3 linked regions of the Arabidopsis thaliana genome follow. The protein of the gene in region 2 interacts with the protein of the main gene of each other region in a pairwise test. Each region holds a gene or a part of one and is shown on either strand. Other genes may lie near its edges.

Region 1 (7,704 bases), on a different chromosome or scaffold from region 2:
ACATCTACCTCAACAAACAAATCAAACCTATTGTTAGCATTATAACATGTATCTTTTCAAGTAATTAACAAGAGTACCAAAGTCTGTAACATCTTAAATTGCAACCAATGTTTGAATTCATTTCAACATATCTTTGTTTTTTCGTTAAAGCTAACTCAGACTGCGGTGAAAGACAAAGAAGATGATAAGGATAAAGTGGTTGCGACGAAATGAAAGAAGGATGTGATAACATGGCAAGCCTTTAGCTTAGGCAGTCCCATGTCAAAGAAGGTAGATGAGAAACATACCTTGGGTTCCTCTTCTTTTCCTTATTTGACATGAGATTGCCAAGCTATAAGGCTTGTGTTAATACTTTTTCATATTCTCTTGTGCAATCTGAAAGTTTTATCTTCATCCATATCATCATCTTTGTCTTTCACCACCACAGGGCAGGCTGAGTTTGTGATAACCAAGACAAACTTATAAATGTAACATGATGGAAACAACATTTCCAGAAACCAAATGGAACATAAACATCAGCTAAAGTGACAATTAACCATGCTATTCTCAATCAACAAGGACTATACCATCATTCTTCTATTAAGCAAGTCATCACCATCTTTCATCTATACGAGGATTGAACATTATATATTGAACAAACAAAATGGGATAAAGACTTGTCAAAGCAGCAACAAGTTCCAAAAGAGTGACTGAGAGCTTACAAAAAAGGCAAAGCGATAGGATTTGATAAGGTTTCAAGCCTGAGTGCCTGTCAACGACTTCATCTGAATGTGATTAGAATCAGCATTGTTAGTCGGCAAAGCTTCATAAGAACCAGTTCTTCTCACTCCGGCCGCCATCACCACCATCGTGTAAGTCACAAAGATGAGGATAACCACAAGCACGACGTGTACAGTGAACATTAGATCCAATATAGAAACAGCTCTTAGCTTAGAGTCCTGAATATCACATTGGGTTGATCCTTCAACACCGCTTTGAACATCAAGAAGACGATGACATCCCTCAGGAATAAACCCATCAACGTAGAGAGAGAGTCCAGTCTGAAGCTGCCAGAGACCTTGAAGACAAATGGCAGCAGCGAGAGCAGCGTCAGCAATAAAGAGTCTTGAACGGCAAGCGAGAAGCAAACAGAGGAGAGAGCATAACGCGGAGATACGAGCAGAGAGGGAATCACAATGAGCTTGAAGATCAGATGTTTGAATTGCAGCTGATGAAGACGCGGCGGAGTAATGGAGGAAGAAACCAACGGAGGCGAGTGCGAAGAGGAGATCGGAAGGGAGAGGGATTAACGAGGTTGAATCGGAGAGGAGATAGTAAATGGCGATGATGAGGAAGAGGAAGAACACGGCGGCGGAATTGAGAGATGAGAATCGGTGAACAGGAGTACTTCCTTTGACGAGAGGATCGGAGTAGAAGGAGATTAGGGTTTCGTGAAGGAAAGCGACGAATAGAGAGAGTATGAGGATGAACAGTGGTAGATTTTGGAGGCGGTTGTGATTGTGGTGGTTGTTTCCGGTGACGGAGGAGAGACGTGGAAAAGGGTAAAAGGGTTTCGCGGCGTAGGATTGGGGAGATTTAAGGAGATGGAAGAAAGTGCAGATGAGATGATACAATCCTAGGGTTAGTAGTGACGCTGAAGCGAAGAGCTTGTACATCATCTCTCCCATTTTCGAAGCTTGATTTTAGGGTTTTGTTGTTGTTGGTCGGGATTTGTATGACTGATAAACTTTCTCCGATCTGCTTAAGAGAGGTAATAGAGAGGACGATCTGGTCAACTGCTCCTTTAAGTTGACCGGTTAGTATTGTTAAACCAGCTGACTTTTTCGGTTATTTGACAATTAATTGCACTATTTAAACCGGTTTTATAATGGATTTTCCCGGTAGTTGGTAATTCAATATTGTATTTGTCAGGAAGAGATTGATTGGTGCTTGATTTGTTGCAACATGACTACATGAGCATGATGTTTCACATTCTTAACTAATAGAAATGGATTTAGACTATTTATGGGGACGAAGTGGTACATACAATGTGTTGGTGACGACCAATAATCATAATTAACTAATAGAGCATTAAAAAAACAAAGAATCAACCGTCTTAATTAAGCAAAGCAAAGCAAAGCTGCTATAGACAATGAGAGATTCAGCTAATTATGTGATGGCAATATGACAAAACAGTGGCTGCAATAGCTAATGTTGTCATCCAATAGGACTGAGAAAAGGTGTTGCCAATGGAGGAACTTCGGTCTGAGTTTGTAGATCCTCCTCTAGAACCTGCAAGAACACAAAATATTCATGAAACATCTTTTGATTGAAAAAAAAAGAAAGAACTAAGGTTTGAGTGTGTACGAGTCAAGCAAGCAATGGGATTGACATGTTCTCCACATCGAGCAGGCAACATTTGAGCATCATTGACATCGATGCCAGCTCGCTCGGCTTGAGAACTCCAACGGTTACTAATCATACGGCACAAGCACTCTGGATTGTTCCTTATCACTGATTTGAGAGGATTACAACAAACTTGAGGTACTTCCTTGGTCCCATTCAGGTAATTTAGGCATGGAGCAAGTTGGTTTAGACACGAAACGCTCTGCCCATTTATCCGCATCCCCGAGCTAGCTGCAACTAGAAGAAGTACAACGTAAAAAGAGAAAAACTTCATCCCCATCATCATATCACCTTAGTTTACTATTTTGAGTGTTACTAAAACACTTTTGTACTTGTTTAATTTTTATGTTTGGTGACCAGCTTTTAAGATAGGTAGACATGGTTCACCAGTCAAACCTACTACCACCGTTTGACCATCCTCAACAGGTAAGTTACCAGAAGAACCCATCAAATATGAAATAATTTTACATTACGTAAGCAAATACCAAAACCACAGAAGTAGAATAACAAATTGTTATTCCATCCTAGAATATAGTTCTCGTTCAACCATAAGAAAAACACACAGAGGTTTGGGCTATACAAAGTATGTCATGCCAACTAATAACCCATCGAATAATGGGCTTTTGATGTCCAAGGCCCATATATATTAAATATGTATTTGAAAGTAACACAAGAGCAGTTTCTTGTTTTCATTAATCAAGATACAAATGATAACTTGTTATTGAAAAACTAATGACAAACAGTCACTTTGATCACATAGGCAGAGATCAAGGACGGCGAAACATAGATAAACCCAAAAAAGAAGAAGAAGGAAAAGGTACAAATGAGGAAGGTATTAAATATGGACGATGAGAAAGAATTAGGAGCCAAAGTAGTTGAAACCTTGAGGGAAAGAGTCAGAAACCGGAGGCATTCTGCTGAACATTGGACTATGTACGTACTCAGACGAGTAGTCGTCACCGGTCCAGGTCCACTGTGGTTGGCTATAACACGAATTCGACAAGTCGCTCGGGAGAGGAGGCAGCTCATTACTACTGTCATTAGAATAGCAATAAGAATTCGAAGATTGAGAGCCACCAAACATGTAACTGTCCACTTGATCACAATGAGGCTGAAGCATTGGCGAGTCAGTGGATGAGTATTGGTTAAACATCATCATGTAATCGACAGGATCATTGCTAGGAGGAGCAGGAGGAGGTGGAGGAGGAGGAGGATCGTCAGGAGAAACAATGGAGGTGACGGATGAGGAAGGAGGCATGTCTGAGTAAACAAAGTTGGTTCTGGCACGTGTGCCACGCATGGACCGAGCAGCTCTATCGTAGGCCAAGGCAGCTTCTTCCGCCGTATCGAAAGTGCCAAGCCAGTGACGCTCCTTCGTAGTTGGGTCTCTAATCTCAGCTGCGTATCTTCCCCAAGGCCTTCTTCTCACCCCAAGAAACCTTGTACCAACCTGATCGTCTTGCTTCTTCTTGCTCTTTGATGATGTTGTGTTCATCTTTCTAATAATGATACTATACCTTTATGCATACACAGATCAATAAATGTCCGATATATCTATCTTTTTTCTAGTTGAAGGAAGAGAGGGAATGTGTGTTGGTCTTGGAAAAGTATCCCTTACCACAACCCTTTTATATAAGAGCTATACCTTTCCTTTTTCTCTCTCTTTTTTCATTGTGTATAATTCTTTTATATATCTTTTTATTCCAATTGAAACAACATTTAAAAATGGCTCTGTGTTGAGTTAATTGTGGCCCATGATATATCAATTATCAGTCAATCAAAAGTATATAATTATGATTAAGTTACCACTTGATAGCATGTTTCATGCATTTCTCAAGGTTGTTCTACACTAGTGATTTCATTTTTATACATGGTTAATTCTGCTAAAATATAATGCTGAGTTCCGACTGCCTTTAATCATACAAGTGCTAATATATCAACTCAATCAATTACAATAGTAATACATAAGAGCTTCTTTTTGTTAGGTGATGTATATATTAGAGAAGAGAGTGAAAGAATAACAAAGAAATTAGGATCATTATCAAAAATAACTTAAACAAATACAATCCGTTAGCATATTATATATAAATATCGATAGATACACATAATCATCATTCATCAACAATAATAAGCTGAAACAAAGGGATTAGGAATGATAAGAGCCATGATTAGCATGTTACCTTAGATACCAGTGTCCCGAGTCTAATAATAATAACATGTCCGAATTGATTAACAAATTAACGAGAGATAACGTAATAGATAAACTATTCAATTCAGAGAATATATTTGGTATAACGCGTCCAAATACTACTGCATGTGATGGTCCATATTGAATGATGGAATGTGCATGAACTGCGAATTTAACATGAAAAAGAGAAGCAAACCCTGATTATTGCATATATGAAAACGCAAACACTTTCCGTCTTATCAATCATACAACACATAAAAAAACAATGAGTTTGGTGTTTTGGTTAAAGTTAATAATTGGTAAAGAAGGGTGCAATGATGGCCGCATGATGGAAGGTAGTCGACTAAATTATGAGGAGGAAAGTCATTACTTAAGCAGCTATTATATCATTATATGTGTATTAATCTTGTATTACTAATACGTCAGAGTAGGGTTTTGACTTTTGACCAACACAAAATTAAAAGAGTTGAAGTCTCATGCATTAGAGAGAGATTATGATATTTGATATGAGTATCTAAGGAAGCAAGTGGTAGCCTTTCTAAGACGATCTTATTTTGTGTCAGAGGAAGACCAAAGACCATTTATGTTTATGTTTGGCTACACGACCAACGTTATGGACGGTGATAGTGGATCGTATCATTTCTTAATCTTTTATAATATATACGTCCCATTTGTCTACATGTACAATAATCACAATGTGTGTTAGCGTTAATTAATTAGAGATTAGTCAAAAACAATATAGGGGTAGTGCATGTGCTCCCAATTTTATAGGCTGCAACTTCAATGAATATTGCCACACCCTTTTTCTTTCATCTCCCACTTTCTAATCCCAAGGCATCTATCTATTTCCTTATAATTTAATCATTTATGTGTTTGTCCTCTTGGCTATGAATATGATATCGTCTCTTCCTAAATTCAGTTTCTCAAATTATATATATTCTGACCAAAATACTCCATTCATATTCATTTGCTATATACTATTTTAAAACAAACATGCATTATTGAGAACAAAGGAATTTGGGTTGCATGTGAGCAATCTTTTATGCTTTTGAAATTTTATCTTTAATCTTAATTTCATTGGAGTAAACAAGCCCTATAATTTATGTTCCCTCACTTTTGACCAACTCTCATTTTTCTCGTTTAATTTTATATTCTAAAGTCCAATCTTGATGCATTGAATCTTGTTTACATTTACGTTCCGCTTCTATTCTCTATCGCCTCTTATTATTCTCCGATATCCACAGACCACAGGTTTCTTTACTTAATTAGTACTACGTTCTCATGGTCTACGGTGGAATATTAGTACATGTAAGAACTATATAAAATGTATCAATGGACAAAATATTTATACGAATCCTACTTAATTAGGATTTAGGTCAAGAGCCCTAATTAAGCCCTCCCAGTCAGATCACCGCCTTTTTCACTACCATCACTACTCTTAAGTGACTTCGGCATTTGCAATACCATTCTCGAACGTTGTATGTAACGTCCTCGAACAACTGGAGATATACACAAGCTGACAAGTGAACACATGCATATCCCAATTCTTAACTATATCAGTTTTATGGAAATTGGAAGGATGTTTTGTTCTATGGTCCGAGTCTCAAATTGACGAAACTAGCAATTCTCTATAACTCATCTCGAACTATTCTTGATGCAAATAATTTGATGATCAATTATCTGAGGGTTTGGGCCTCTAATTGTGTTAGTTTAGTAGAAACTAGAAAGAAAAAAAAAGGGAAGAAAGAAGAGAAGGCATGTGCGCCCAACGTGGAAAGGCATTTTCTTGGACGCTTAACATAATTAATCCTTTTTCTAATTATTGCCTAACACAAACATCTTTTGTCTTACTTAAATCTAATTACTCTTTTAATCAAACGACCATGTGATGAGCGCACTAAGTAGATTCATAATTCTCAACCACATTCAAAAGTTAAAAACAAAGTATGTCTGCTTTTGGCTCATCTAAACCTGAAGGTGACATGGGAGAAAATTTAGGGGCACGAGCTTTGCAGTCACCTATCAATTAATCCATTAATCTAACTAGTCTATACACGTTATCCGATGAAGAAGTGTAAAATGTTGGAATTGCCGAGTTAAAATAAAAGATAATTACCTTCCAACACTTGCAAGGGCACTAATATGCAAATGCTCAGGTTCTTCTTCTCTTTAGACCAACAAACTCATTTTGCTTAAACACTTCTACTTCTTTTCCTAGTTTATCTGCAGTTTCCTGCATCCTCTTCTGAGACTCAGCCATTTCTCCAGCCACTTCCCTGCAACTTGCTCCAAATTTTAATGTCTCAGCTTCACAACAAACCATCTCCTTCTCTGTTTCAAGTAAAGTTTTCCTGAGATGACTAGTTTTCTCATGAAGTAACCTTAGTCGCCTGTACGAAGCCATAAATTCACTCAACATTTGTACATGTTTCCCTGAAATACTCTCCAATTGAAGCTTCTCTGAGTTGTACTGATCAATTAGGTTCTGCAAGCAAGGGAATGACCACTCAGCTCCATCAATTTCAGGTTGCTCATGGTTTGTCCTTCCATGTATCACAACAGAACCACTAGAGACCGTATCTCTGATCAAATCACTCATCGCTTCATCCACACTCAACTTAGAAAGAGCACTATTTGTTGGCTGATCACCATTCTGAGTCTTTTTCCATGGCTCTTCAGGTTCGCTCGTAACCGGATCAAACAGAGAGATACCTAGTAAATAGCATAAGAGTTCAAAGAACAAAAAAGTGTATTCCAAGCATAATACTTTAATAGAATCAAAATTGTCCATAAGTGAAGTACCTTGGTTCAGAGCAGTAGAGTGTACATCAGAAACAGACATTGAAATGGAATCCAAATTTTCTAATGTAGAATCATCCTCTGCACTAACAGAATCTTGACATTCTACTACACAATCATCCTCTATACCACTAACAGAAGCTTGACATTCTTTCTCTGATGCCATTTGGTTTGCAATTTCCGGTATAACACCACCACGAGCCTGTAAGCTACTCTCAACATCACTCAAAATTTGATCAGCTTCAACCCAAAAATCAATCTCATCCATAACATCACAACTAGGAATCATCTCAACATCTTCCCACTTGAAGAATCCACAAGCTCCAAATCCC
Region 2 (8,631 bases):
GCGCTTCTGATTTTGCAAAATTGGAAGAGAGTGCTTCCGTTGCGCTTTTGAAGCGTGAAATCGTGTGTCTTTTGACGCTTCCATGCTACATAACGCTAGTTGTGAGATTGTGTTTGGAAAAAGATGCAAGCTTTAAGCATTTTGCCATTAAAGTCTGGTCTTTTAGTTGGATCAAGATTGGAATTTGAGTTGGATTGTTCTTGTTTTGTAGTTAGCCCTAAGACTACTAGAAAGAGACTTTGCTTTCTTGAACAGGCTTGCTTCGGTAGTAGTAGTAGTATCTCTAGCTTCATCTTCGTTTCGAGTAACAGGAAAGTTCTGTTTTTGTGTGAGCCAAAGAGAAGTTTGTTGGGATCATCGTTTGGGGTAGGATGGGCCACTGAGCAACGAGAGCTCGAGCTCGGGGAAGAAGAAGTTTCCACGGAAGATTTAAGTTCAGCAAATGGAGGAGAAAAGAACAATTTAAGAGTTGATGTTAGAGAATTAGCGTTTAGTTTACGAGCTGCTAAGACAGCTGATGATGTGGATGCTGTTCTCAAGGACAAGGGAGAGTTGCCTCTGCAAGTCTTTTGTGCTATGATAAAGGGTTTTGGCAAGGACAAGAGATTGAAGCCTGCGGTAGCTGTAGTAGATTGGCTTAAGAGGAAGAAGAGTGAATCAGGCGGTGTCATAGGTCCAAATCTTTTTATATATAACAGCCTTTTGGGTGCTATGAGAGGGTTTGGGGAAGCAGAGAAGATACTGAAAGATATGGAGGAAGAAGGGATTGTTCCAAACATTGTTACTTACAATACTTTGATGGTTATTTACATGGAGGAAGGTGAGTTTCTCAAGGCTCTTGGGATTCTTGATTTAACCAAGGAAAAGGGTTTTGAGCCTAACCCGATTACATATTCAACGGCTTTGCTTGTTTACAGAAGAATGGAAGACGGTATGGGAGCTTTAGAGTTCTTTGTTGAATTGAGAGAGAAATACGCAAAGAGGGAAATAGGGAATGATGTTGGTTACGATTGGGAATTTGAGTTTGTTAAGCTTGAGAACTTTATTGGTAGAATATGCTACCAAGTGATGAGGCGGTGGTTGGTGAAAGATGATAATTGGACTACTAGAGTGTTGAAGCTTTTGAATGCAATGGACAGTGCAGGGGTTAGACCGAGTAGGGAAGAGCACGAGAGGCTTATATGGGCATGTACTCGTGAAGAGCATTATATTGTTGGTAAAGAGTTGTATAAAAGAATCAGAGAGAGGTTTTCTGAGATAAGTCTGTCTGTTTGCAACCATTTGATTTGGCTGATGGGTAAGGCTAAGAAATGGTGGGCAGCGTTGGAGATCTACGAGGATCTTCTTGACGAAGGACCTGAACCTAACAATTTGTCTTATGAGTTAGTGGTCTCTCATTTCAATATCTTGCTGAGTGCAGCTAGCAAGAGAGGGATATGGAGATGGGGAGTTAGGTTACTTAACAAAATGGAAGATAAAGGATTGAAACCGCAGAGGAGACATTGGAACGCGGTTCTTGTAGCATGTTCAAAAGCCTCTGAGACCACAGCTGCGATCCAAATCTTTAAAGCAATGGTTGACAATGGTGAAAAGCCAACGGTCATCTCATACGGTGCACTACTCAGTGCTCTTGAGAAAGGGAAGCTATATGATGAGGCGTTTCGGGTTTGGAACCATATGATTAAGGTAGGGATTGAGCCAAATCTTTACGCGTACACAACAATGGCTTCAGTTTTGACAGGACAGCAAAAGTTCAATCTTTTGGATACCCTTCTCAAGGAAATGGCTTCAAAGGGTATTGAACCGAGCGTTGTGACTTTCAACGCGGTTATAAGTGGTTGCGCGAGGAACGGGTTAAGTGGTGTGGCTTATGAGTGGTTTCATAGAATGAAAAGTGAGAATGTTGAGCCTAACGAGATAACTTACGAGATGTTGATTGAGGCTCTTGCAAATGATGCAAAGCCAAGGCTTGCTTATGAGTTACATGTGAAGGCTCAAAACGAAGGGCTTAAACTCTCTTCTAAGCCATATGATGCGGTTGTTAAATCAGCTGAGACTTATGGAGCCACCATTGATCTTAATCTTTTGGGTCCTCGACCAGACAAAAAGAATAGACCTTAGTCTGACGAAAACACATTGTACAAGGTTACCGTGGGGTAAGGCGCATCCAAGGACCCTTAAAGGCAAGAAAATTGCCATTACAGGGAAGAAGAAAGTTTCCAAGTAATCACTTTCTTGTTCTTTAATACTCTTTTTAGTTTGTCTAGTCTCTCTGTTTATATTGTGAATTTTTATCTTCGTACAACATCTGTATTATCATCAGACACATTGATATGCAAACTGGTTTGTTCAGTTCAAAGTTATGGATCTTTTTGAAATAAGTTTTGAATTCTTGGTTTGCCATATGTACTTGCAAGAAAGTAGAGAGAAAGAGAGAGACTCATTCAATATATATGAGAGCAAACAGTTTCTACAACACTTTGAAACCAAAAACAAAGAAATGGAAAGCTAGCAAAATTATGCAAATGATTACAGAACTGTTTTATTACTTCTTAGCAGGTTTCCAGCAAGAAACAGCATAAAGGACTCTTCCTTTCCAGCCCTGAAACATCCAGTGGTTATCATTGTCGATCACAAAATCTTTGTGGTAACGTTCTTTCACTATCTCTTTCCCGTCCTTTACTATCTGTTTGCTTAGTTTCGCTGGTCTAAATCCTGCTCTTAGAATCCTAACCTGCCATTGCTTGTAGGTCTCTGGCCTTGCAAACCGCTCAGACCCTTCACAGGCTATCACACTCATTGCATCTCTTATGATTAGTTCCCTCTCCACCAGTGTCCTGCAATTGTCGTCTTCTGATAATGTGGTCTCATACATGTCAAAGAGTGACGAGCAATGGAAGAGAGCTTCTCTGAACCTTGTTAGGAAGAAGGGTGAATTGTAAGTCCCGTTAATCTCTGCAAACACAAAGAGGTCAGGGTTGATGTCTCTGAATAGTTTCAGAGCCGTGTCTCTCGGTGAGTTGAGGGACACGGTTTCATCAGGTGTATATTGTAGCCGGAGGATGCAGTTGACAACTGTTGTCTCGCCACTATTGATCACCAGATCATCAAGAGTTATGTTCTCCCAATTCTTGGCTATGAAACTGTACTCAAACGGGACATTGAACTTGTCACAGAACCTCTTTAGTCTTCGCCCGGTCTCTTCTACCCGCTCTGATGGACGGAAACCTGACTGAGGAAGCTCGATACCAGTCACACGGAGCAGTGGTGGTCCGATGTCACGTTTTGACAAAGCTTGTATCAGACAAGGCCATTGAAATCCATAGAGAATCCCAAAATCAATGATGTGAAGTGTGGTTGCTTTGGAAGCAAGCTCATTGATTGTTCTGTTTGCAGTGAAATAACACATTATTAAGGTGGGGCAAGCCTGAACAAATCCCTTGTACGCCTTCAAAATGTCCACCATTGATGTTCTGCTAGAAGTAGCAGATATTGGTGTAGTCATGGTTCCTGTAATACGAGCTTCAAGCGCCTCAGCAAAGTGATAACCAAGTCTTTGAGTCGCATCACCGTGGCGAGAAGAGTGTTCTCTTATCTCCTTCAGTTTCTCAAAAGCTCTTCTCTGGTCAAAACTCGCCACAGCTTGCGCGCATTGCATCAAAAGATTCCTCATATCTACTGGCTGATCTGACTTTTGCTGCTTGTATCGATTCGATGAGCCTTTTACGTGTCTTGTTTTCTTCTCTGTTGCTTCTCCCTGATCATTCTTTTGACATACCAACAACACTTCCTCAAACTTCTCTGCTAACTCATCCACCGTAGAAATCGCAGGGAGCTTCGATTTCCTTCCACTCTCAAGATCATCATCTTCATCATCATCCCTATGTCGATACCTTCTGGTTGACTCCTCTGAAACTTCAGGTTGATGCAAACTCGTTATAGAACTGAAGTTTCCAAGAGAACCATCCTCTAGATCACCCGAGATTGGAGTTTGATCTTGAAGCACTTCGAAGAAAGATCTCTCTGCGGCTTGTAAAGCCAAACTGTCTTCCAACATACAAGACTGACCTTCAAGATCTTCTTCCATCAACATGTCATTGATGTACTTAAAGACAGGAAGGTAATCTGAACATACCTTAGACTCGGTCGGAGAAGGGTTGCTCTGAGATTCAGATTCGTTGAAACAAGTGAAACGATTGGTCGTCCCAGATTCAAGATTGTTCCTCGGTTTGCAACAAGATCCAGAACCGGTGTCGAATCTGAACCCATCAACGGGTACTGGCAAAATAGCATCCATGAAACAGAATCTCTCTAGAATGAAGATTGAAACAAGAGTACTTTAGTAAGTCAACGAAAAGAGGAAATGAAAGAGAGTAGTGAGAAGTTTCATGTGAACACAAGTTGCGAGATGTTGTTGATATAAACAAAGGATAGGGTTGATATTTGTCTTATTTAATCTTTGTCTTGGCAAAGAAGAAAAATGAAGTTTCGAGGAAACAGAGAATGTGTGGGGTTGAAGATAAACACTAAGCCGCCACAAAAGGTTAGTAATAATATGTCCAAGACTTTATCTACTGTCGTGGGTCCAAATGGCTAAAAAGCTATTTGTTTTCTTGTTGTTGTCTTCCTTTTGGTCACTTGTCTGGTCAAATATTTGACTTATTAGTTATTACCTTGAATATATTTTCTAAATGTATTTAGAAATTTAGACTTTTTCTTTTTGTATAACGAAATATAAAACTTCGAAGTAAATTAAGTTTGTTTTGGTTCAGTTTTTTTTTCTACAAGACACAAGCAAATTTCAGTTTTTAAATAATAATATAGTAAATTTTATAATTTACTACAATATATTTGTTTGATAATTTATTTTGCATATAATACGCGTAAACTATTTAGTAGTCTGTTACCACATCACCAAAATTCCAAAAAAAAAACAAGATGTAAATCTTAATTGTATAACCTGTCCCTTGATTTTTTTTTTTTTTTTAAGTAGTGATTTTTAAAATTTAATGATTATTTATTATATATAAAAGTTTGAAAATTATACAATTCTCTAAGACATTAATATTTTATAATTTACAATTTTTATATAGTAACATTATACCATGAGACATTTTGGTTTTATATATATTTTTTTAAATCAGACTGATTTGATATGTATAATATTAGTGGTGTTAAAAAAAAGATTTAATATGTATTGAAACGGCAGATTAATGATATTTTAATTTGTTATTAATGTAGATTCAAAAATCCGTTCCGCAAAACCCATTCCAACAAAAACCCAGTTATTTTATTATTGTAAATATTCATTATATGATATGATTCTGAATCATTGTCTAAATATTTTAGTCAATGTGGAACATTAAACATACACATTATTTTGTCAATTGGGTAATACGTGTCCGTGTTTAAAATTAAAAATCACAATATATGTATAAAAAAAAATTGTTTTTTGATTTTATTTTATGTATTATATGACGATTTAAAACAAAATCAAATAAAAAGCATAATTTTAAATATTAATTAAATCTTCTAAATATATATAATATGGTGTATATTAGTTAAGAATCATAATTTTCTTGCTGCGTCAAGTTGCTAAATATATTAGTTTTAAATCGGTAAATATATCAGTCATCATAACTTCTAATAAATTGAACGTTATCCTCTATTATCTCGTCCAGGTCCAAATGTAAACTTCAATATCCTTTTGATTTTATTGCTAATTGCTTTAAATTTTTTCACAAACTCCAATATTCAATGAAAGGCAACAGTTCAGTGAAAAAAAAAAAAAAAAAAGTGGGAAGAGCTTGCCTACTCAATGCTATCTGCAAATATTTGCGAACTTTAGTTCAACATCGACTTCTTTACTGGTTAGAGATCCAGGATTTTGTGCCTTTGTTTGTGGCTATAGCCTTTAAAAGAGGCTTTGAGACCAGCTTATTACTCTGAACGACCCGTATTTAAGGTAAATACCATAGCACACATACCACTCACAAGCACAAGCTTCTGTGTATTCTTTCCTAATATAGGACACATGTGAACCATAAACTGACCAAACATAGACCAGCTTGAGTAACAATTTATCCAACAATTGAATTCTCCAGCACTCCTAGAGTTTGGATGAGGTATATATATATCAGTTCGTTGTCGTTGTGATATGATAGGCCGAGCCATAAATCATATAGACAGAATAAAAATGTCACCAAAGATTTACAACAAATCCTTTACATTGTTAGAAAAAACCCAACCTTATTTCCAATTATAAAACTTTACATTTGAAAGAAAGAAAAAAAAAAACAAAGAAGAACTGAGACCAGATCTTCAACTATGTCAGAATCTTACAATATGGATCATCATAATAATACACAAAGGTTCTTTAGACCAAGAACCTGTTCAGATTAGAGAGCCTCTACCTGAGTGGATGGTGGCTCAGTCTGCAGTTGATGCATTAGGTGTTGTGACCAGTAAGCGTGTGCCTTCAAAACACGGTCCAGAAGTTCCTGTGGCACCGGCTCTCCTCTCCGCTGTTGTGGAGATATCCTTGCCGTGTGGACCAGCGTCTTCCACTTATCCTACAAAGGCAAAGACTCAATACCAAACTGTATATATTAAGGTTAAGAGTTAGTTAAAAAACTAACTAACCTTGAGATCAACATAGGTACGATGGTCTGCGTCCTCGAAAGCACGAACCTTCACATCTCTCCACCTGTAGTTTTCAAACACATTTTGTCAGCAACATGAAGAAGAGAAAGTGCTATTTCTTTGTTTTGTACCTTCCGGTTCCGAGTTTCTCAACGGCTTGGACCAGTGCTTCTACTTCAGTAACTGAGAAAGGTCGACGAATTCTGCGTTGTGCAGCTAGCTGCTGCTCAGTCCTTTTAAACTTACGGTTAGGAGGCCGAGGAGCCAGCATTGCTGCTGAGGCAACAGGAATCAAAGCTCTAGAATGATCACTTGTGCCTAGTTTCCCAAATGAGTCAGCTGGGGATGGTTCTGGCTCATGACTAGAATCCAACGCATTGTCGTGGCATAACGTCACATCATCACAGGCATGATCTGACAGATAACTGGCAGAGAGAAAACAAGGCCCTTAAGCCGCAAAAGATTGATTTTTTATCGATGTGGCATCTCTGAGAGTGAAGAGAAGAGTGAACCTGGATAACAGTGGTTGAGGGGTGGTCTCTAAGCTAGGTTCAAGGCTGAAACCAAGAGAATCCAAGTGGTTGTTCTCCTCAGAGATCCCAGTCTGAAGAAGAGTTTTGCCATCATCTCGGACTTTCTTTCCTTGAACCATCAGCCCGACTCGAAGTCCATCACCCAGTATGGTGGTCACTGCTTCCATCACCATCCGCTGACAACCCCGACATTACAAAAATACAAATATAAGTTCTTCTTGATCAGGATTTTCAGCACAACTAGGTTTTGTTATTACACCTTCAAGGAGCCAACAGTAGCAGTTTCTGGAATCTCTACGAAAAGCTCAGGCACCCTAAAAGACTTGATCCGCAGCTTCACTAAAGAGTAACAAAACAAAACAAAAATATTTCAACGAAACAATAAGCGAACAAAGGATAGATTGAGACTTGAGACTCCATTAAATTACCATGATGATCCCTTGACACAAAGGACGCATTTCGACTTTTCATGGAAGATATTGTTCTGCTTCCTGCGGATGAATTTGCAAAACCGTGTTACAACAGCAAAGACTTACAACATACTAACAAGAGAATGAGAAGATTACAAGTTTTGGACCTTTATGAGTCTTTCCTTGCAAACGGTAATCATCAGAGTTCGAGTCGTAAACACTGTCAAAGTATTTCCTTTTCTTGATGGGATAACTCCTCTGATGATGGTGCAAGTAATAACTCCTCTTTGAGCAATACCATGGCTTTGCATCTGCAAATACCAAACATCAAATCACAATAATAAAGATAGTCAAAACTAAAACAAAAGGCGATTTTACCTGTGTTGTTCTTCGAACCTCCTTTCCAATGTCTAGATGCCAATATCTTCCTAATTCTTCTGTCTCCAATACGAGGCACAGGCCTAGTCATACGAGTTCGAATGTAACCCGAAAAGTTTTCATCATCATCATTTCTACTAAACAAATTTACATCATCCCGAGACTCGTTGGGACTACCGTTCCCACATGCTCCCACCTCGGTACTACTGTTACTACCTATACTAGCTACAACATCAGGCTTTACATCACCACTCACACCCAAACTACTAAAACCCTCCACCTCCTTTCCTACTTTGTCACCTACCAACAAGTGATTAGGATTTGTTATCACAGAGCTAAATCCACACTTGCCATTGTCAAATAGGCTCGGGGATTCCGAATAAGGAACCGCCTTTACGGGGTTTTCATCAGCCGGGTATTCATTCTTTACAGTATTTTGTACAACTAGACACGCGTTTACCGGACTTTTGCTCTCGAGAAGCAAGCTTCCAGCTACGGTGGCCAATAAGTCAATCGCGCACATCTTATCATCTCCTGGTATCTTCTTTTCGTAAATGCGCTTCTTCTAGCAAAAATGTGAACAAACATGCGAGTGATCATTCATGTAACTGATAAATTCTTTAACAGCTAAACAGAGAATATAGCAAAGGGTCATTTACCCGGAGTGA
Region 3 (7,603 bases), on a different chromosome or scaffold from region 2:
TTAAGTTAAAATCTAGATTATAACTAAATAATTTAAATTATATTTATTTTATTGATATTATTTGTTTTGTTTAGTATTTAAGATAATATAATTGTATTTTGATTATTATATGTAGGATTTCACCCGTGGTATACCGTCTCGTATTACTATCGATCCAAACCCGTCCTACCATCTAATCCCATTTAGTGAAACTAAACATATTTAATGGATTTCACTCGTGGTATATCGTCTCGTATTACTGTCGACCCAAACCCGTCCTACCATCTAACCCCGTTCAGTGAAATTAAACATTTTATTTCTGTTATTTTTATTTTAATAATACTTTAATTTAAAAGATACATAGTTCAGATTAATTTAAATACATCGACAAAATACAAGTTTTGGTCGCTCTTCAAACTTCTTGTTCATAAAAAAACTTGTGTGGTTAACAATCGGATTTGAATTCGTCATCGCCAGATCAGCATCATATCACGTCGGATTCATCTTCATCATCTCCACGTTAGAGTAGTTTCATCACCACCACCATAAGTAATCACTGGAGGTGTTCATCAATACGGCATCACCGTACGTCAATGTTCTTCAACGTAGAAAGAATAAGAAACAAAATTATTGATTTCTTATATATCAAGTAAAAATACATAATCACGTGGTAGAAATAGTTTCAGTATTATTCAAATCCAAAGGAGTGTTAAGATTAAAGTACCTTTGGCTCTAATCTTTCCTTACAATACCAAATTGATGACTTATTTAGTCAAAACAAGTAAGGTGATGAACTTTGTTTCTTTGACATATTGTTTCTTGTAAATAAGTTATTATTTATGTTTAGTTGACCTCAATTAGCTCAATGTTATTCAAATTTAATGGAGTGTTTAGTTTGATAACCGTTAGTTCAATTCGGAAAAATTAATTTAAAAAAGATGATAAGTGATTCAAAACGAATTAGTTGACGACTTTTAAAATATTTATATATATTTAATTTTAATTTTTCCAAAAAGAAAGATAGCACTTAATGAGTCTAGCCTTTTATTTATAAGAGTTATAGACCCAATCAAACTATAATTACTTTTGTTACACAAAACTTTGGGTATATTTTAGTGATTAAACTTTATATTTTGTAAAAATATAGTTTACCCTTACAAAATAAAATTATGTTTATATAAACTAACTATATTATCCTTAGTTAAATGGGAAGAGTAAAAAAACTCTCTACTTACGCGTTTTGGCGAGTAAATTCTTATTTAGGTTTACTTGACCTGAATTAGTTCAATTTAATTTAAACTTAAACCGTTGTCTCTAATTCAGAAAAATCAATTAAAAATGATGATTTAGTTGGTCAAAATGAATAAGTTGGTCACTTTTTAAAATGCTTATACATATATTTTCTAAAACATCTTATATTGTGAACCTAAATAAAATATGTAAAACATCCTTTAATATGAAACAAAGAGAGTATACTATTTTGACAAAGTAGGTTTACCATTCGTGATTCGACTATGATTATCATTTTTTAGATAGCAATTATGGAGTCTAGTAAAAAATTTTTTATAAAAAATATAATTACCCACTCAAACCAAGATTCTATTTTGGTTATGCAAACCTTTGGCTATTACTCATTAAACTTTATATTTTAGAATACAGTTGTCCCTATTATAACTTTAAAAATAAAACTATTTTTGTAGCAACTAACTATATTACCTTCGTCAAATGAGAAAAGGTAAAAAAAATCTCAACATACACATTTTGACCCATAATAATCACAACTTACACAATTTGGTCAGTAAAAATCTTAACTTACGCAATTTGGCGAAAACAAAATTTGAATATTTTTATTGCAAAAAATAGTTATCAACTTATTTGTTTTGGGAAATAAATTTTTATTTAGGTTTACTTTACCTCATTTAGTTCAATGTTATTCAAACTTTATGGGGTGTTAAGTTTGATTATGTTGGCTCTAATTTGGCAAAATCAATTATATGCATTTTGTCTATCAAAATCCCAACTTACGCAATTTGGCCGGTCCAACTTACACAATTTGGCGGTCCAACTTACGCAATTTGGCCTGTAAGAATTCTAACTTACGCAATTTGGCTAATACAAAATCTCAATATTTTTACTGCTAAAAATAGTTATCAACTTATTTGTTTTAGCGAATAAATTCTTATTTAGGTTTATTTTATCCCAATTTGTTCAATGTTAGTCAAACTTAATGTAGTGTTAAGTTTGATTACTGTTGGCCCTAATTTGGCAAAATCAATTATACGCATTCTAGCCTATCAAAATCCCAACTTACGGAATTTGGCATGTAAAAATCCTAACTTACGCAATTTGGCCAATACAAAATCTCAATATTTTTACTGCCAGAAATAGTTATCAACTTATTTTTTTTGGCGAATAAATTCTTATTTAGGTTTACTTTACCCCAATTTGTTCAATGTTATTCAAACTTAATGGAGTGTTAAGTTTATCAATGTTGGCCCTCATTTGGCAAAATCAATTATACGTATTCTGCCCAATAAAAATCTCAACTTACGCAATTTGGCTAGTAAAAATCCTAATTTAAAATCTGAATATTTTATTGCCAAACCTAGTTATCAACATATTGTTTTTGGCGAATAAATTCTTATTTAGGTTTACTTGACCTCAATTAGTTCAATGTTATTCAAACTTAATGGAGTGTTAAGTCTTAAATCACGACCTTTTATACAGAATTAAACCTCTTAAATCTTGAACGAGCTTGGTTGTCGAAAAGTGATGGATCTAAATTACAAATATTTGAGACTGGACACAATGGCTTGGTTTCCATTTGTGTTTATGTTCAGAGAATGCAATTCTTGTGCCATTACTGTATAGAAAACATGTTTTAAGAACTGATATGATGCATGCATTTATTCATAACGATTATATATAAGGAGAAAACATTAATTAACGAAAGAAAAATAAATTTCATTCATGAGAAAATACAACTACATGTGAAACCAACCCAAACATGTAACTTAAACAAACAGAACTAAAACAATAACTTTTTATTGATAGTTGAAATGACAACAACTTAAAATAAGATCAACGATGGCTCACCACTGTTTCTTGTTCAGATCCAAATCATTTGTGGTCTGTTTCATATTCAAAGTAATTTGAATTTGATCTCGAACCTTGTCGTAAAATCCAACCGAAGAAGAACCCATCTCAACCACAGGCATGACACTAGATGTTGTAGGGGCAGCAACAGGAACGAGGGCGGAAGATGGTTCATTGTTCCTTTTCAGAATCTCGATCCTACGATTAACATCTTTGAGTTGTTGTTCAATGACATAACCAAAATCTCGAAGCTCAGTTTTTTCGATACTAGAAACCAAAGTTTTGCCACTAAGACAATCAAACATAATGTTCTTCATCTCCAACTCTTTGTTCTCTTTCCGCAACTTCTTCCAAGACTCGGTTGCTTTGGTGATCCTCTGTTGGAGAAAGGTCTCTTGGTTCACCATCTTCTTGGTCTTGTCCATCACCGACATCGTCTTCCATTGGGACACCACCTGGTTCGCAGCCTCTCTCGATGGCCACACCTCCGGGTTCAGCTCGTACGGACTGTTGACGACAGCAAAGATCGGGACGCCACAAAGAATTCCCAACTCTTGAGCTTTCTTCAAAAGACCTTTCTTTCTTTTCTTGAATGTTGATTTTCTTGCTGTTTCATTTTCTATGAAAGTCATTTTCACTTTCTGTCTCGTCATGACTTTATTTTTTTGTGTGTTATACTTTTGAATGGAGAAGTGCTTTTTATATAGAAGATCTGATTGTTGGAATTAAGCAAAATTTATCTCAGTTCAACCATATATATATCATACCTTTTTAGGGATATCAAAATTGGTAATACGATAATGGAAAGAAATATATATATGTTTAGAAGTAAATTTTTTTTTCAATTTTTTATTTTTTACTTAGGAATTAAGGAGTCTACTAATCTAGTTACAAGTTTTTTAGTTTGTTTGTGAAAAGTATAGTTACACTTTAACTGAATAATTGTCCTTGTTAACTTTTGGGTATAGTTACTTCTTAATACCAAAATTTTGCATAACAAGAACTGACACTTGTTCAAAAAGACTTATAGACTTATAGTCTTATAGTGCTGAGTTTTTAAAATAGTTTTTATCCATGACCAGTTGACCGAACGACTATTCTTTATCTGGTTCATAAAATATTTTTTAAAATAATTGTTATTACTAATAATTATCCAAACATATCTTATGTGGAAAACATTTACTTTACAAATATTTTTATCATTATTTTTTCTGAAATGTTATATGTATGGAAAACATATCTACATATAATAAAGATAAATATTACATAGTTTGAACATACATAGAATATATATCTAGATGATTTTACTTTATATTGTGGTGGGTAATCTTGACTGAAAAATCATTTTCATAAAGATTTTTTAAGTTTTTTTTGCAAACAAAGTATAACAAAAAAGGTCAAGAATCAATTAAAAAAATGTTTTTAAAGGGTAACTACGGAAGTAATTTAAAAAAAAAACATTCTTAAGAGGATATTACTCCTTCCGTATTAGTTTAGGTTTCGTTCTAGCATTAAAATTTTGTTTGATAATATTTATCGGTTTAGATTTTTAATGTAGATGTTTGGTAAAAATTCCAATTATATTCTTATTGTTTTTATGTCATTACCAATAAAAAAAATATTAAACAAGGGTAAAATAAAAAAAAATTGATTTTTTAATTTCTGTAAAAACACCATAAACGAAAACTATTTCAAAACAGAGGGAGTATTAGTTTGTGTATGTTAATTAATTTGGAAATCTATATTATTACCTTTTGCCAAAGATTTTGAAATCTATATAAAATTTAAAATGCCATGAAATTTTCAAAATCTAACATGTGGATTTGAACTAGCATTTATAAACCATTCAAAATAATTAGATTCGCCCACATATTTAATCTTTGTATTTGTAACTAGGTTTTGTACCCACGCTATACGTGTGTATTTTTGATATATTTCGGTAAGAAATACATACAATTAATTATATTTTTTAAATCGAAGTAAAAATTCAATTTTATTTCAAATACACTATATTAAAATTATAAAAATCAGTAGTGTTTAAGAATCGAATTTATTTGAAAGAATCATAAATCAATTTTATTTTTTCATATTCAATTGAATGTCAACACATATGTCTTTGTATTTCTCTTCACATTCGTTGTTTCTTACTTTTCATATTCATTCTTGTCATCTTAATTATTAATTTTCTTTTAGCCGTTGTCATCATTACTTTCTCGTTCACTTCTTCGTTATAGTCTTCATCTTCATCTTCCTCGTTATTTTCTCACTTTCTTCCTCATCCTCTCTCTATATTATTCTATGTAAAATATTCGTTATTATGTGGTTAAAAAACAGAACGAGAAATTTAAACTTAGTAACTTTAACCAAACATAGTTCAATAAGCTTACGAATTAACTCCTAAAACGACTTAGTTCATTTCACCATCTGAACCAAAATTTGATCCCTTAGTTCTCGTCTCCCGAACATGCTATCAAATTTCAGATTATTCCGAGTACGTTGGATTTTTGTTTGTTGTCTCCACATATTTGTTTAGATCTAAAACTTTAAAAGAAATCTTCTTGAACCTGTTGAAGAAGTTGTTTAAATCTATATTCCACTATTCAACCTTAGGAGCCCAATAAACAAATTGTGAGGGTTTAGCCACTTAGCCCAAAACGGACAATATCATATTAATGTGGAAGTTAGATTGGACTTGGAAAGCCCAAGAGTATTTTGGTTAGTGATGTTGATGACTTTCTAGTAGTTTCTTATGAGGATTCTTCTTATCAACTCTCAACTGATTCATATAGGGCAGAATAAGATCAGTTGATCAATGCGCCTGCAATTAGTATTTGTTTTTTCAAACACAGGTTTTTCATGGACTCTCAGTGTTACAATGTTTTCAAACTCAAAAACAGAGTAAATTCATTGACTCTCAGTATTACATGCAATTTTAATTTATGTAAGACCATTCAAGGGAATTAAAAGCTAAACACAAATCCAAAACAAATCTAATGTGTGTTATTGTAAGCCTATGTGTGTTAGGGTTTCTTTGGAAAGTGATATAAATAGGATTGTTATGTGTCTAAAAGATGTAAACAACTCTCGTTCATCCATTTTATGAAATATTAACCACAATCTCTTTGTTTTGGTGACAATCTAAGTTATTTTCCCTCTTTTTATATTTTTGCACAATAAAGCTCTAATGAACTATTTCAAATTATAGCATTTTGACTATTTTCTATTTCAATAATCCTTTGTTGGATTCTCTTACGGTTCATACACCAAAACTATTACATTGTGAGAAACTTTAGATGGCATGGGGTACATGGGATGCTCAAGATGAGACATGTGGGTTATGTCGGATGCCATTTGATGCTTCTTGTCCTGACTGCAAACTCCCTGAGGATGATTGCCCTCTAAGTAAACTCCTCGGGGATTATTGCCTGTTAGATTAGATATATGAGAATCTTATATTTGTATATATCTAATATCTTATGAACAGATTTATGCTTATCTCATGTAACCCTATATATATATGTTCAATACATAACTTTCCATTCACGGAGATTCATACAATTACATGGTATCAGAGCTATGGCCATTGCCCTATGTGTCGTAGAAGATGGAAATATAAAGAGTAACTAGAGTGGGAAGAGAGAGATTTTATATTGCGCCTTGATTAGACATCTAGCTTTGTATCCACTTTATAGAGATGTAATAAATCATTAATCAGAGTTAAGTTCGACCTTTGTATGAATATTAATGGAAGCAACTACAAATAGCAACAAAAATGTAATAGAGATTTTGGTTCATGACATGTGGCTAAAGAAAAGAAAGATAATTTGTTTCATGGATATATTGTTCTTTTTAATATTTAGCACCCAATTTCAATTTTTTTCGTTTTAACATCCGACTAATTTTGAGAATATACATGCTCCTTTTAAGAAAAATTAGTGAATCTATAACAGTAAAAAATTAGAAATTAATAAAGCTTAACCTCTATAAATTAATAATATCGAAATTATGATATTTCAATATTTATACAGTTATTAATTTATTAATTAAATGATCTTAAACACTTATTAGGGATCAAAGATTTTAATCTATCGAGTATTAATTTATATAATTATTACTACACCCAAATAACCAAGTGCCGCATGCTTAGAGTTTACATACTGTAAAAATAAAATCTTGAGTTGTACCAAATTTATATAATTAGTTCTTAATTTAACGTAGCCATTTGAGTTTCGGCCCAAGTGGTCAGAGGAAAGGTGTGATAGTTAACTTTACCAAATTATTATTTTTGGATATTATGAGGTGTTTTGGGCCTTAATCACTTGGCTAATCTCTTTAGGGTGAGTGTAGGATCGATTAGCCCACTCACCGAGTTTTTTAATGAGTACTTAAATCACGCTCCTCTCCCTTACCTCTGCCATATCTTTTAGAGAGGGAAAGCTTCTTTTTATGACATTGATCAGATTGTAAAATAGATTTCTTTGTTTTGTCTCTTCCAAATCATATCTTAGATCTATAGCTTAGGTTTAGT

Evidence for each region. Proteins that work in one complex are often made in the same cells at the same time.
Region 1: the proteins of AT3G46600 (region 2) and LEP interact in a two-hybrid assay, tested with the Arabidopsis thaliana proteins (one large-scale study listed by BioGRID).
Region 3: the proteins of AT3G46600 (region 2) and AT5G26630 interact in a two-hybrid assay, tested with the Arabidopsis thaliana proteins (one large-scale study listed by BioGRID).

The regions. Positions count from the first base shown.
Region 1 is NC_003076.8:4,479,206-4,486,909, forward strand, and holds LEP (Integrase-type DNA-binding superfamily protein), read right to left. Parts: upstream 4,043-7,704; 5' UTR 3,881-4,042; coding exon 3,245-3,880; 3' UTR 2,923-3,244; downstream 1-2,922. Other genes in the region: AT5G13890 (plant viral-response family protein (DUF716)), read right to left, coding at 735-1,667; AT5G13900 (Bifunctional inhibitor/lipid-transfer protein/seed storage 2S albumin superfamily protein), read right to left, coding at 2,141-2,271, 2,347-2,671; AT5G13920 (GRF zinc finger / Zinc knuckle protein), read right to left, coding at 6,726-7,703. UniProt on the Arabidopsis thaliana protein: Cell division-promoting factor involved in leaf blade differentiation, inflorescence branching, as well as in carpel and silique shape. Promotes the number of xylem cells.
Region 2 is NC_003074.8:17,153,714-17,162,344, reverse strand, and holds AT3G46600 (GRAS family transcription factor), read right to left. Parts: upstream 4,422-8,631; 5' UTR 4,298-4,421; coding exon 2,546-4,297; 3' UTR 2,380-2,545; downstream 1-2,379. Other genes in the region: AT3G46610 (Pentatricopeptide repeat (PPR-like) superfamily protein), read left to right, coding at 124-2,121; TRFL1 (TRF-like 1), read right to left, coding at 6,399-6,572, 6,643-6,706, 6,774-7,067, 7,155-7,351, 7,435-7,514, 7,604-7,666, 7,753-7,896, 7,964-8,528 and 1 more. UniProt on the Arabidopsis thaliana protein: Probable transcription factor involved in plant development.
Region 3 is NC_003076.8:9,346,940-9,354,542, reverse strand, and holds AT5G26630 (MADS-box transcription factor family protein), read right to left. Parts: upstream 3,732-7,603; 5' UTR 3,729-3,731; coding exon 3,072-3,728; 3' UTR 2,923-3,071; downstream 1-2,922. Other genes in the region: AT5G26640 (anaphase-promoting complex subunit 11 RING-H2 finger protein), read left to right, coding at 6,369-6,502, 6,648-6,702.